Callithrix jacchus: one gene and its partners. The protein of the gene in region 3 purifies or fractionates together with the protein of the main gene of each other region. This does not show direct contact. Links are inferred from orthologs where the notes say so. Each region holds a gene or a part of one and is shown on either strand. Other genes may lie near its edges.

Region 1 (4,882 bases), on a different chromosome or scaffold from region 3:
TACACTAACAATTTTCTTACTCTGAACACTGGAGAATCGGGCAATGGACATGACTTTCCACTTTTCTAATTCCATTAAGGAAAAGGGGTGTACTTTCTTGCTGATACTTTATTGCCTAGACCAAAGCCCAACTCACAGAAAAAGCTGTTTGATGAATAAATGCCACTTGGTCAATACAAGTTATTTGTTGAATAAATGCATACCTCTCCTAAATTGGCTTGGAATTCTTTACATTCACATTTTCTGACACACTTTTGCAAAACTTAGTGGAAAACATCTTCCCTCTTACAGAAACTAAGGGCCTAAAAATAGCTGTTCTATACACATCAAAAGACTAGGAATCTTAAAAGACATGAATCCCTTCACCCTCTAAAAATGACTCTTGTCCCAAGAATATGAAATCTCCATTTGCAAAATGTAAAAATTCAATAGGTCTTTGGCCAGCAGTTTATGCAGCTAAACTGAGGTTTTCCATTCACATATATTCCCCTAAATGTGAAGTAACAAGATTACAGCAACATGATTCTAATATTTATTACGTAAAAATGAAAAGGGGACAACCTCTTGCCATCTTGAAGTAGAACAGAAATAACCTTTGTTCCTATTAAAGAGAAACTCTGTTGAAATACACAAAACCATCGCCTATATTCCTACATAAGAGTTAAAAACACATACCAAGCCTGATAAGCCACAAACAACAGGAAATTACCCTGCACAGTTTCTTAAAAGACTATTATTTCATGAAGCTTACCGACTATGTGGAGACATGACCACTTATGACTAAGTACACGTAGGTTACAACCTTGAAACACCAAACTTTTGTTGAACATCTTCAACGCTTTAGCCGCACTTTAGAAGGTGTGGCAAAGTATAAAAAGCAAGCTGTAAGAGCAATTTCTTACTAAAACCCCAAAATGAACGTTTCCAATCACATTCCATTAATTAAACCTGGCCAGTGAACTGACTTGAACTCAATTAAATCCAGTTAATATTTATAGTAAGTGTATAAGTGGGTACTCGGTTTAGAAATGCCCAAGGTGTGAACTATTTATATTTACTACCACACCCAAGTTTACCGCAAAGGCTAAGAAACTTTAAAAATTAAAGTATTACTTTTGAATTTAATATATACGTTTGCTAAATGACCTTTTGGCAGACGAAATTCTTTAAATATCTTGTGTGGGTTTTCTGAAGGCAAATTTTTAAAAAACCGTCAAACTATGATACATTTATGAAGCCCATTTTAAATTCCTTCTCACATCTCTGCCGCATTTGCTTCACTAATTCATGTATTAAAAAATGTTGAAACTCCATTTAACTATTTGACTAAGTTCAATGTAAGATGAAAACTTTTTGAAAGGGGGTTAAAATAGAAGAGCAAATTTTCAGCATAAGAGCAAATTTATTATTAGGCGCAAGAAAAACATCCTATCAGTGATTCATTCATACGAACCTATCAGGTTCAATTCATATGAAGTCAGAAAAGAGAAAAGGAATTTTGGAAATTCATTCACATTTCAAGGACCATTTGCAAAAAGGTGAAACTACTTCCAAGTTATTTATTTATTAACAATTATTTTACACATATCTTTTAAAAATTTTCACACACCAAAATTTAAGAGTATCAGCTGTGTGCGTGTCACACACACAAGCCATGGAAAACTCGAGACTACTATTGTTAACAAAGGTTATCAGACCAAAAAAAAACTATAACAAACAAGACAGAACTAATGGAAAATGCTGCTTGCAAATTCGTTTCACCTGGAGTTTTTTGTTTTTTGTTTTTTTAAGGTATGGTTGACACTACACTGGTGCTGTTTTGCTTTTAAAGGGTCAAGAGGAAGGAGTAACAAATCAACCCAGGTATTCTCTTTCTGTTTAGGATCAAAAGGAAATCATAAGGGTAAGTAAAAGACAAAAGTACTTGAACCAAGGACAGTATCCCCTAAGAGAACAAAATAAGTTGCAATTTTGACAACCAAATTTGAAATACGTGAAATCACTTAGAGGGCTTTCCAAAGGCGTGTGATAAAAACTAATAGGCTCCACCCGCAGAACAACTTTCACAAATGAGTGAAGGATGATCACAGAGTATCAGCTGTGTTCGTGTTTGTGAGTATACACAAGCCATGGAAAACCCGAGACTACTATGGTTAACAAAGGTTACCGGACCAAAAAAAAAAAAAAGTGGAAGCAAAGTATTACGCGCCCCTAACACAGCTTCCCCACAACTCCTGAAACAAGAGCTCTGGCTCTTCGGCTTTAAAAATCAAAACCACAAACTATGGAGCGTGAGAGCCGCGAGGGGAAGGGACGCAGGCATCCTCCGCCCCCGCCAGGCTGGGCGGCAGCACTGACCGCCAAGCCCCGTCCCTCCCGGGTTCTCCGGCCCCCAACCCGCACCACCGGGCCCGCGAACCCACAGCCCCCGAACTCGCCACACCCCAGCCCCCACCAGCCGCGGCCATGTGACACGGCCCATCACCCCAAGCCGCGGCCGCACACAAACACACCCCTATCCCGAGGCCCGCGGGCGCCGAGGCTTTACCTGCACAGAGGCACCAGGTCCCGCCCCGTCAGATCCGGGGGGTCCAGGACCTTTTGTTCCTTCCTCTTCCGATGGGATGGAGGGGGCTGGGAGGGGAAGAGGGGAATGGGCGATTGGAGGCGGAACTGAAAACACTCCCCGCCGCCGTCTTCCCGCCCCGCCCCCAGGCCCGGGCCCGGCCAGCCACCCCGGCGCGCGCGAGGGGAGGGGAGAGGTGGGGGCCTGGCCGCCGCCCGCGGGGAAGGAGGGGGTGAAGACGCGGGCGCCCGCGCCGCCCCTCCTCCCCTCAGGCGCGCGCCCGCAGCCCTCCCCGCCGCCCGCACGGCCGCGCCCTCCCCCGCCGCCCCACCTCCGCTTCCGCCCTCGGCCGCCGACCGCCGGCCGCCGCGCACCCACCTCCCGGCGGCTGGCGGGCTGCTGGCTGGCTAGCTGCTCCTCCGCCGCCGCGGCCGCGCGGGTAGACCCGCCTGCCACCCCGGGCCGCGGGCCCCGCCGATTCGCCGGCGCAGCCCCGGGGCTGGCACCCTGCCTCCCGCTGATTGGCGCCTCCAGCCGCCCGTTAGGGCGCGAGGCACGCTGGCCAAGCGTCGCGCGGGGCGTGTACGGAAGACGGAGGGAGCGGAGGAGGAAAGGAACGAGGCCGAGCGCCGCGGGAAGGGCCAGGGGGCGAGCGGGGCGCGGGGAGTCGCCGGCCACCGCCTCCCCACCTCCCTTTGCCTACGGCCCGCCCCGCCTCCCGGCCGGACCGGCGGCGCCCGCAGCCAATCAGCACGCGGGGAGCTCGGGGTGTGAGCCGCGCGTCGGGGGCCTCGAATCGGAAGGGAGACGTCGCTTGCTGATTGGTCCCGCCTCCCCCGTCTAGCGTGAGGCGAGGCGGGGCGCGGCCGGGCGGGGCGGGACGCCAGCGGTTTCGCTTGAGTTGGGCTTCGGCGCGCTCCCATCTGGGCTCGCGGGTGGGGAGGGAGAGGCCCGTCCCTTGTCGCGCTAGAAAACGATCCCCGGCAACTGCCGGGTCCCTCGCCAGCGCCGTGGGGTGGGTCCTGTGGGGGCCTGCCGCCTCGTCCACGGTCCGTCGTGAGGCCGGGGCAGACACGTGCTCATGCCACGGGGAGGACTCGGGCAGCCCGGAGGACGCGCCCGGGAGAGAGGGGTTCTGGAGAAGCCGGGTGCGCCCTATGCAAATGAGTGGGCGGGGCCCTCGTGCTGCAGACGAGGGCGAGTTCGCAATGTAAATAAGCCCGGAGCTGGGGTCTTTCAGGAACACTTAGGCCTGGGCAGGGGATGCCAGGTATAAGAGTTTAACCTGAACCTTGGTTCCTTCTTCAGCAAGGATGATAGCAATAATGCATGTCCGGAAGGGTCTTTGTGAAGTCTAAAAGAAACGCCTGTCACGATGCCCCTTAATGGTTGGGCTATCTTCCCTTCCCCTTTTCTCCACTGTTGGGCCATTAGGCCCGGGTCTGCACATCTGGCCTACAGGAGGCAGCAGGCCCTACACTTACGACTGCCCAGGGCATAACCGCACCCAGGGGAAAGCTTGTTGCTTTTACCCTTAGGAACACCCAAGCCTCTGGTGACAAAATATTGATCCCAACTAATGACATCAAGTATTTACTATGCACCCACTGTGACACAGGCAGGGAGCATCGTAGAACTAAAGTTGAAAAGAAATAGGTCTCACACAGGTGCCAAAGACTAGAACTCAGTTTTCTTGGCTGCCTGTTCAGAAACTGGATTACTTTATAGATTCAGTTGGGGACTTGGGATAAACAAGCTGGAAAAAAGCACTAGCAATACAAATCAGTAATCAGGAAGTACCAATGAGCACTTCAAACAGTAAGAGTTTTTAAAGTATAATCTTTCTTAAAAATGAAGGTGTCCCAGAGGAGGGTGCCTTCAGATGGATCTTAAGAGTGATGTGGCCATCCCCTGAGTCATACACGTTTTCCAGATGTCCTTTCAAAATCTCTGTCCTTTCTACCATCTCCTCACACACGGAGGAACTTTTCTCAAGCAAAAGTTGCGAGGAAGAGCGCGAACCCAGGAATCAGCTACAATCACATTGTAGCTTTGAGTACGGCTCTGTTCCATAGCTAATCTTTGGCAAATGGAACTCACCTGCAGCCATATCTACTTAAATATAGTTGTGTGATGGTTAAATAATAATATGAAAGTAAATAGCATAGGACTTTGAAGTTCAGGGAAAGTCTGTGATCATTAACTTCTCTTCTGTTGCATGCAAACATTTATGCTAAGACAAAGCTACTCAGCAGAAATTCTTCCTCCAGATACTTCCTTCCAGGGTGGTTTCTTCCATTGTTTAGAGGCAGCTCT
Region 2 (4,985 bases), on a different chromosome or scaffold from region 3:
TGCTTTCTTGGGAATACCGAGCAGAAAATGCTGCTGGTCCACCTAGAGAGCTCTGACTACTTAAATGGAATTGTGCCAATGTGTGTTTCAAACTGGGATTTAAATGTAAAGTTTCAGGAACGGAAGCACAGGTTCGCTTGACATGTTCTCCATCAGTTTCCACTGTCATGTCTTCATAGTCATCCAAGTGTTCCTTCTTTACTGTTGGCACCTTGTTTATCATTTTTCCATTTGCATGAATGTCTGTCATCATTTTTTTCTCTGGGGGGCTGCCATCATCTCCCATCCCATTCAGTTTTTTAGTTGAACCCTGAACCAAGGAGAAATTTGTCTGGAGGTTTTCCATTGCTACACTACTCTGTTAAACAATTAAGTCTGAGATTTGCATTTCTATTTAATTACTTATTTGAAAAGGGGAAAGTAATGAATATACAAATACTTATGATAACTTACTTTCACAAAAACTTTCTAAAGAGAGATCCCCTTAAATTACTCAATACTTAGTTTTGGTTCTCCTTATAATCTGGCATAATTCCACTACAAAGCCTATGAAATTGTTCGTTTTGCCTCCAATAATAAAGAATAGAAGCACACCTCTGAGAATGCTTTGTTTTCTTGAATTCTTCAGAAATACGTATCAAAATAAAGTTACCAATTTCTCAATTCAAGATGTCCAGGATCAACGCAATGGTTTGGTTTCCTTTGTTATAAACAAACACATGAAAAGTTTCTGTCATTCCTTGGGCCATAAAATCTAGACTCAAACACAAGTCAAAATGATGCAACCCAATTTAATCTTTACCACTAAGGAAACCAAAAAGGAGGGCAGAGGGAGTATTTCCTCTAAAAACGATGGTCTGCTGGTGTCCGTGCTGAAAAACTGAAGACGTGTAAATCCTCACACCAGGAAAAACAGCCTCTGCCTTCTTGAACTTCTACAATCAACAATGATACTTAACAAAAAATTGCCCAATTATCTTCAAAGATTACAGTTCATTCTTCTTTTAATTAATCTGCAAGAGAAGGGGGTGGGGAATAGTTACATTTGAATTTGCTCCAGAGGCCAAAGAAAACCAGTTTCCTTTCTTTCCTTCTTAAGAGTCTCGCTCTGTTGCCCAGGCTGGAGTACAATGGCACAACCTCCGCTCACTGCAACCTCCGCCTCCCGGGTTCAAGCAATTCTCCTGTCTCAGCCTCCCGAGTAGCTAGGACTGCCGACGCACGCCACAACGCGCAGCTAATTTTTTTGTATTTTTAGTAGAGACAGGGTTTCATCATATTGGTCAGGCTGGTCTCGAACTCCTGGCCTCAAGCGATCCACCTGCCTCAGCCTCCCAAAGTGCTGGGATTACAGGCGTGAGCCACCGCACCAGGCCGAAACCAGTTTCTTAATATTAAACTGAGTTCACTTTACCAAAGGTGACGCTTGAGTGATTTCTTTAAATCTAACACCAGTTTATTAGAACATTCACTTAAATAGGAAAGCAATTTGGAGTTGGGTAAAGGGAGCAATAATGTAACACAAAAGGCCATTTGAGTTCAGAATATGAAGAATCTTAAACAGATCATCTCCATCAGTACCAGAGGCTTTTTCAGTTATGTATGCCATTTTAAGGGGGAAAAAATACATTACTTCATCTCCTATTTAAAAAAAAACAGTTTCATCCAAAAAAAATCAAATAGGAGTTAACATATATCTACCATATGTAACTAAGTTACAATTTTAAGTGGATTAATTCAGCTGGTCCGTGTATACCATTTTTCTGGAATGACTGTAGGCAAAAATTAACTGTCTCTTTTAAAAGGTTAGCGATTTTACTTAATGGAAGCCAAAAGCTTATAGACTCCATGCCTGGGAATCTCCATCCTTGAACAAGACTAATCCGGGACAAAAAGCACAAGGCAGACAAACCTCACAAAGAATGCAAATGGAGGAAGAGGGGGAAAAGAAAAGACTCTTCTTCCACTTCCTTCGTGAGAGAAACCCCAAAAGAAATCCAATAAATAGAAATTTTTGCTTCCCTAACTGTCAGCAATTTACCATAAAACAGACCCAAAGGAGTAAGGACCAATGCTACCAGCCATCGTACGGACTTTTGTCCACCACAGGAACACATCTCACTTAACACAGGCCAAGGAAGAGGGCAAGAGGCATGACCTAGAATGGGGGAGCCCCCAAAACCCTGAAGTCCTCCGCCCACTCAAAGCCACTCACCTATCTCTAACCCGAAGAGGAGGAAGAACAAGGGACACGGGAAGCCTGGGAGTGGGTGTGCAAGGGGGTGGAGGAAAGTAAAGGGAGGAGTCCCCCCACCCCCATCAGCGAGCCTGGGATAACCTCAAGTGCCCTCCCAACACTGCCCCCCCGCGGGAGCCGCGGGAAGGACTGTGGAAATCCCCCCCACTCGCACCCTCTCCCCGGGAACTTCTCGGGTGTCACCCCAGCGCCCCTAATGCTGCACCTCCCCCGCCCTGCCAGCTCCGGGCCAGAACGAAGAGGGCACCGGGGCAGTTCAGTCGCCGAGCGAACATCCCCGCGCCGCCGGGGGCTGACGGGCAGGGTCGAGCCCAAGGCATCCCCGTGGAGCGCTGCTGGACGGTGGGAGGGGGGTGGTGACGGGCGTCCGGGTCTCCCGGGTCTCCCGGGTCCCCGCGGCTCCCGTCAAGTGCAGCGCCCAGCCCTGCCTGCGCCCACCGCCTGGAGCCAACGAGGCGTAATCCCTCGTGGGACACGCGCCTTGCGACTCCCTCTGGCTCCGACCCCACCCGGGACCCGCGCATCCAAAGCCCCTACTCGGGCCTCGGCGACTGGGGAAGCTCGACGAGCTTTGTGAACTCCCCACCGCCCCTGTCGCCGCCGTCGGGCTCCCCGGAGGCTGAGCGCCTCTGGCCTCCAGCCGCCTCCGCCGCGTCCCCCCCCCGCGCACCCACGAGCCGGAGCCGCACCTGTGCCCGCCGCCGCCGTCGCCGCTCGCCCTCTCCCTTCGGCTGTGCCGGCGCCGCTCCGAACCCCACACACATCGCTACACACAGCCCTCTGACGTCACCAGCCCTCGGCCCGCCCACGTCACTGCGGAGACACACGGCTTCCCGCAGACGCCGCCGCCGTCTCCGGCCGCCCGGGGGAGAGCGAGGGCGGCGGGGAGGGGGAGGGGAAGGGAACAGAGCCAGCGGCGGTGCCGCGCGCGCGGGCTCGCCGGCGTCGCCGGGGCCGCCACTTCGCGGCTCCCAGATCTCTCGGAAACGCGCGCGCCGTCTGGCCTATTGTGGCTCCTCAGAGCGCCCCCGACCCCTGGCCAGGTCGTCCCGCGCGCGCGTCCCTCCCCCAGGCGCGCGCGCCCGGCGCTCCTGGCCCCGCGCGCCGTCTGGGCGGCTGGCGCGCGGCGCTGTCTGCGGTGCACCCAGCGCAGACAGGATGTTCCCTCCCCACTCCACCCTCACCGCCGCCCTCCCTCCTTCCTTCCTCTAGTCGCCCAGCCGGCTGTCTGGGGCCTCCGCCCCGGCCCCGCCCCACCCGCCGCTCTGTGGTGAAGGGCCAGACCCTGGGGCGCCCTGGACGCTCGGCCGCCGCGCGGCGGGGAAGAGGGGGCAGGGCAGCCGCGCCGTGCACTGTGCGCGACCCCAGCAGCCCGCAGGGCGGAGGCAGTGCCCGCCCGGCAGAGCGCCGCCGCCCGAGGTCAGGCACGGGCGACCCTCCCCCCGCGGGGCCGCAGCTGGGCCGCCCCGCCCCGGAGGCAGCCGGGCGGCGACCGCCCTGCAGGGCCCCCGGGGCCGGCTCCACTCCCCGCCCCCGCGGGACCTCCCTCCTGGGCTGCCCCTCGCCCCCGCGGGGCCTCAGGCCCGAGGGCCGCCCAGCCAGCTGCCAGAGCTCCGCCCCGTCCCGGCGGCCCCAGCCTCGCCAGGGCGGCCTCCACCCAGACGCCTTCCCCTGGCTGACCTCCATCCGCCATCGGGTCGGGCGGGAGGGGTGGCCAAAGTTCCGGCACAACCGTGAGCAAACATTTCTGTCTCTGCTCCCCAGGCTCCTGCCCCCAGCCCACCAGGCTGCTCTCTCGGTTCCAGAGGGGAGCTATAAATTACAGGTTTCTACAGTGTTTACTGAGGGTTTTTTTTTTTTTTTTTTTAAAGAAGGGCAAGACGAGGTGGGAAAGATAGGACTTAAGAGCTTTCCGGCAGCGACCCTCTGCGGCTTGTAGGGTGGTCTTCCTGGTTCCCAGGGTTGCCGGTTAGCATATTGAACTCTGCAGAGCTGCTCCGTCACATTTCGAAACACCAAGAAATCCCCTTTTCTCCACCCCACCACAAGATCTGGAACCGAAATAGTCCACCGAGTAGCAGTGCACAAAATTGAGGAGACTCGGGCTTTGTCCCCTTTTTTCCCCCATTTTCGTCCAATTTCTTCTGGGTTTTACTGCTTCAGGTCGTTCCTATGGGGGCCCACGTTTGGAGTCGCTGGCTGGAAATACTCTTGTGCTCGTAGATTTTTTTTTTTTTCCTTTTTTTACAACAGGCCTCCCAAAGGCTCACAAGCCTCTCAAGCCCTACCGCTCCCCGCACCCCCACCCAAGTTCCCTTCCTTAGGCCCCCTCCACCGAGCTCCCAGGTCGTGCTCCCTCTCTACCCCCCCACCTTTTCTTCGTTCTTGACTGCCTCCTTTCCTGAACATGAATAATTCCACAGCACTTCCCATCTGTTATTGCCATAGAGACAGAAGCTTGGCAAAGATAATGATGTTCTGTGCAGAGCCAGTGGGGGGAAAACAGCATCTGTGAGTCTGGGGTGGGGGATAGATTTTCTAATTGTGAGAATATTCAGAAGGCCTGGCTGAAGATCCGATGCGAAGACTGGACAGTCCTGAAACTTGGCTCCAGGTCAACTCTCAGCACTTGGCTCCTGTGTCTGGCCAGAGGAACAATTTTTAGAAACCAACGTGACTGGTTAAAAAATGTAATTCCAAAACTACAATTATTAATAAATGTTTAGTA
Region 3 (5,130 bases):
TTATCTTCCCCCAAACACAACAGAATGTCAGCTCCATGAAGGCAGAGTGCCTTCACTGAAGACGAGTGACAGTGCCTACAACATGAGACATTCAATACCTGTAACGACATAATAATGCAGTATGTAAGCTCAGCTAAATATCGGGGGTCTTTTTGTTGTTTTCTTTTGTTTTGTTTTTTCGAGACAGAGTTTTACTCTGTCACCCAGGCTGGAGTGCAGTGCACTTAGCTCACTGCAACCGCCACTTCCCAAGTTCAAGCCATTACACCTCAGCCTCCCGAGTAGCTGGGATTACAGGCGTGTGCCACCACCACACCCTGCTAAATTTTGTATTTTTTTTTTTTAGTAGAGACAGAGTTTCACCATGTTGGCCTGCCTGGTCTGGAACTCCTGACCTCGTGATCTGTCTGCCTTTGCTTCCCAAAGTGCTGGAATTACAGGTGTGAGCCAGGGCAACTAGTCTCAGATAAGTATTTGTCTTTAAACATTTGTAATTCACTCCTCATGTAATATATAAATTGGGTACTTGTAGAAAACTGGGCCAGCTGTTACCAATCATCTGTAGGATGTAGGAAAGAAAAAAAACAGAGTCCAGTATAAGATATTCAAATATAACTCTGGACTTTTACTGAACAATAATCACAGGCTTCTGAAAAATTATTCGGGACAATTTTTAAAATGTTATCAGGAGTAATGAAAAAAAATCTTAGTACCATGTGAAAGCTGTTAAAGCTTGAGTACTTTACATCTACAATGCAACAGCAATAGCCATGATATGCGGAACAACAATCAGGTTTTTTGGTTTGTCTTGAAACAGCCTTCCTCTGTCGCCCAGACTGGACTGCAGTGAGTGGCATGATCTCAGCTCACTGCAACCCCCACCTCCCAGATTCAAGCCATCCTCCTGCCTCCGCTTCCCAAGCAGCTGGGACTACAGGCACACACCACCACGCACGGCTAATTTTTTGTATTTTCAGTAGAGATGCGGTTTCACCATGGTGGCCAGGCTAGTGGAACTCCTGACCTCAAGTGATCTGCCTGCCTTGGCCTCCCAAAGTGCTGGGATTACAGGGGTGAGCCACCATGCCTGGCCGACAGTTTCATCATAGGTGTTATCCATATACCTATCATGAGGGAATTGATGCTTTCAGTACCAAAAACCTACCTAGATACACAAACCATTAATTTGGAACCTAGAGAAAACCAGTTATCTATTCTACAGTTCTCAAGTAAACAGGGAGAGCTGAAGCCCAAGGAGGGTTAACAATCAACTGGGAGATCTTACGTAGAGCAAGCAAAGATAGATCTAAAATCTAGATCTCCTGTCTCTAGCCCTAAGATTCACAGGATAATGTTACCCATAGAATGTTAATGCCAAGTTACAACATATTTAACTGCTATCAATTTTTAGATTGTCTCTTTTATTTCCTATTTAAGTCTTAGCCCAAAGGGGGGAGAAAAACTCAAAAGAAGAGTTTTTCACATATAAGCATGCCTTAAGTAAAGCATGATACAGAAATTCCTTTTGAAACTACAACAATAAAAGAAACATCTAAAAATCTAAACGGTTTGATTCAATTAGTTTCTTTCACATTTTAAATTTTAAAGTAAAATAACTACTTAGGAGTATCTGATAAGTGACTATACCTTGGCCTTATACAAGCAAGGAGCTGTTCCGTATACATCAGTATAGCTCCCTCTCAATAATCTGTAGAAATGGAGCACCAATGAGAAATTTGTTAAGGTGTAACCTCTGCTGTAATGCATTTTTCACCAAAACGAAGTCACTTTGTTATACCTTTCTTCAAAAACCAACTCTCTTTCTGGTGAAACAACTACCAAGCAAGTGGTCAACTGACACCAAACAAAAGTTAAAGTGACAGAAACACCTACACACGACACAGCACCCATGATAAGCAAGGAGAGACTCACTCTTCCTACTTTTTCCCATAATATTGTTCAGACCAATTTATAAACACCCTCACCAATTCTTACAATACTTTTGTGAGTCCTTGGTCACAACGAGCAGGAGAGAGATGATAAAGTCATTTGTCCAAGGTTAAACGACAAGAAAGTACAATAAATCAAGTCTTTAAAAAAAAAAATCAATTGAAGAGTACTTTAAAAGGCCTTGCTTCTTATCCATCTGTTTTACCTCACAAATATAATCAAAGACTAGGGTGAAACAATGTGGCTTATACTGAAATGAAGACGTTTATGAAAACACATACAGCAACAAAGTATCAAAAGTAACCTTTACTGTAAGTTCAGTGTTACAGAACTTGTGTGTGGTATTCTTAAAATCACATTCAAGCATTTACAAGTATGTCTCTCTCAGACACACACACACACACACACAAATGGGAAAGGAAATGGAACCTTAGCTTATCTTTTTCCCAGTAGATTCTTTTGGTTGAAGAGGTCCCTAAAACAAGAAAATTACAGGTAAAATACCAAATGAAATAAAGTTTAGATTAAGTCAGGTTCGAAAGCTACAGGAACTCCTACAAAACGAAGTCCGTGTCAGCCGGCATCTTACCATTCAAGAGAATCCTAAATTAATGCCCACGTAAATCAAGAAACAGGAAAGCTTCCAACAATACAATGGAGTCACCCCACACAGCACACACGAACAGACTGAACGAATACCCTACACTTCCTGGTATTTTTGGAATATCAAAACTTGCACTCAGGTTGAGCAATACCCGTCTGCAGAGATCTACTATAACCTATTTAGGAGCTGCTGTGACAAATCTGCTTCCGCAGCGCCGGGCAGACGTTCCCGCGACGGCACCCCCCACTGACTCGGATCAATTATCCGAGGACAAAAGTAAAAACACGAAGCTTCCTTCTAAACGACCAACGAGCCAACCCCGTACCGAATCCGACGCGTCCGTGTCCCAGCTGTTCCGGGGACTACGTTTCCCCGGCCACGGCAGCAGCGGGCGACACCGCGGCCGTCAGGGCCACCGAGCGCCCCGCAAGTCCCCGGGCCCGGGTTCCCTGCAGCACTCCATTGTCACAGCGCACTCCCACGCCCCGGTCCTCAGCCCCCATCCGGAGACTCCGGGCACAGTCGGGAAGAGGGAGAGGCGTCCCCTCACCCACGCTCCCTTCCCTGCGGGCTGTGGGTGTGTCGGCGGACGGACGCCTCGCCCGAACGCGGGACGTCCGCGGGGACGCAGAGCCTCGGTCCCCGCCGCGCCGGCGAGAAGCGGCCGCTCGCCGACCCCAGCCTTCCGCGGCCGCAGCCCTTCCTCTTTCTCCGCTCCGGCCCGGCCCCTCCCGCGCGGCGCGCACGCGCGGCCTCCAGCGCATCCCCTCCCCCCTGCCCCCCTCACCTTAGTCATGAGCCGCCCCCCAGCTCCTCCGGGGTCCGGGGATCAGTGACCCGGGAGGGAAGACAGAGGCGTAACGCGTGACGAGCGCGGCGCCGACAGCCGGCGATGTGCGCCCCAGACGTCGGCCTAACAGGCCCGGAGAGTCAGGAGCAGTGTCTGTCACCGCCACCAAAGCCGGACGTGCGGCAGCGCCTGGACTCGGCCCAGCTGGCCCGGCGTGGGCTCACGATGCCGGATTCGGTCCCGCAGGGGCTCCTCCTCGGAAGCTGCGGGCGTTTCTGCGCTGCGCAGACCGAACGCCTCCCCGCCGCCGCCGCCGCCGCTCCCCGGCCGCCGCCGCCTAACCAATTCCTACCCCACCGAGGGGAGCACGACACTAGGGGCCTTTACGACAGTCCGGAAAGTGAGGCGGCAGTAGCCTTCACGCCTCCAGTAACATCTGTCTGTTTCTGCGCGTGCCCGAGTCCCGTCTCTCAGCGCCCCGCCCCCTCGGCCCCGGCCCTCCCCCTTTGTACCGCTTTCATCAGTCTCCTGGCGAAACTGAACAGTGTCACGAAGCCCACTATTTAATTTTATTTGGCGATTACGCGTTCAACATTGAATCCAAATCCTGACTACACCCTGATTCGTCTTTTTCTAACTAAAAAGTTAACCAGCTACAGAATGACTGACACGTGTAAACAAACACATGATGGGGTTAGTGTCCTTCACTATGAATGATGTCCGTATCATATGCGCTAAGGACATAAAGATCACCGCACCGCACTGTTAAAACGAATTTGCTTCCGGAATCAAGTCAAAAGTGGTAAGAGATATCCTGCTAACTCTGGCTGTACAATCGCATAAGCTGCCGTGTTTATTTTATAAAAGTCAGTAGATCACAAATGCTTCATTATAGGCACTAGGCGGATACAGAGAGAATGGGCTTTAGAGTCCATCAGACAGACTTCCTTTCAAAAATCTAGTTCTTGGATTTATGAGACCCTTATAAATCTTAGTTTCCTCCTCTATAAATTGAGATAACATATTTACCTAAAAAGCTTCTTGTTAGATTAAATGAGACAATTAATAGAATGCTCTGAACATTACTTGACAATGAGGTGTTGACGAAACATTAACACCCCCCCCCCGTGCCACCAACTTATCTGTTTCAGTGCCTTTTTGTGCTCACTCATATTCTCCACGTCGTTCAGAAAACAAATGATTCTGGCCGGGCGCCGTGGCTCATGACGTAATCCCAGAACTTTAGGAGACCGAGGCGGGTGGATTATCTGAGGTCGGGAGTTCAAGACCAGCCTGCCCAACATGGCGAAACCCCGTCTCTACGAAAAATACAAACTTCTGACGGGCGTGGTGGTGGACGCCTGTAATCCCAGCTACTCGGGAGGCTGAGGCAAGAGAATGGCTTGAGCCCAGGAGGCAGACGTTGCGGTGAGCGGAGATCCTTCTATTGCACTCCAGCCTGGGCGACAGAGCAAGACTCTGTCTCCAAAAGAAAAAAAAACACAAATGATTTTTCAATTACAATAATAATAAGGATAGCAGATTGTGTGGAGAAACTAAAAGAGCATTCGACTAGGGTTTTCCTCAATCCTCCTATTTTTTTCACTTTTGCCTGGATTATCTTATCTTCTCCCGTGGCTTTAACTGTTACCGCCTCACGACTTCTCAAACCTGTATTTCCAGCTCTACCCTTTTTTCTAAAGCTTTTGACCTGTGCTTTTCAATTAGGTAGGCTGCTGAGCACTTAAAATGTGGCTAGACTCCCCCCTCTTCTCCCTGTCCCTTC

What was found.
Region 1: the proteins of RNF111 (region 3) and SMAD2 purify together in Homo sapiens (affinity purification with western blotting, with the first as the bait; 3 studies listed by BioGRID). This does not show direct contact. The link is inferred for Callithrix jacchus from reciprocal best matches to the Homo sapiens genes RNF111 and SMAD2.
Region 2: the proteins of RNF111 (region 3) and SKIL purify together in Homo sapiens (affinity purification with western blotting; 3 studies listed by BioGRID). This does not show direct contact. The link is inferred for Callithrix jacchus from reciprocal best matches to the Homo sapiens genes RNF111 and SKIL.

Annotation. Positions count from the first base shown.
Region 1 is NC_133514.1:91,027,821-91,032,702, forward strand, and holds the start of SMAD2 (mothers against decapentaplegic homolog 2), read right to left. Parts: upstream 3,040-4,882; 5' UTR 2,898-3,039; intron 2,635-2,897; 5' UTR 2,549-2,634; intron 1-2,548. UniProt on the Homo sapiens protein: Receptor-regulated SMAD (R-SMAD) that is an intracellular signal transducer and transcriptional modulator activated by TGF-beta (transforming growth factor) and activin type 1 receptor kinases.
Region 2 is NC_133518.1:16,692,012-16,696,996, forward strand, and holds the start of SKIL (ski-like protein), read right to left. Parts: upstream 3,040-4,985; 5' UTR 2,947-3,039; intron 1,014-2,946; 5' UTR 347-1,013; coding exon 1-346. UniProt on the Homo sapiens protein: May have regulatory role in cell division or differentiation in response to extracellular signals.
Region 3 is NC_133509.1:4,989,213-4,994,342, reverse strand, and holds the start of RNF111 (E3 ubiquitin-protein ligase Arkadia), read right to left. Parts: upstream 3,447-5,130; 5' UTR 3,342-3,446; intron 3,139-3,341; exon of another isoform or gene 2,880-3,138; intron 1-2,879. Other genes in the region: uncharacterized protein LOC144577265, read left to right, coding at 3,447-3,911. UniProt on the Homo sapiens protein: E3 ubiquitin-protein ligase. Required for mesoderm patterning during embryonic development. Acts as an enhancer of the transcriptional responses of the SMAD2/SMAD3 effectors, which are activated downstream of BMP.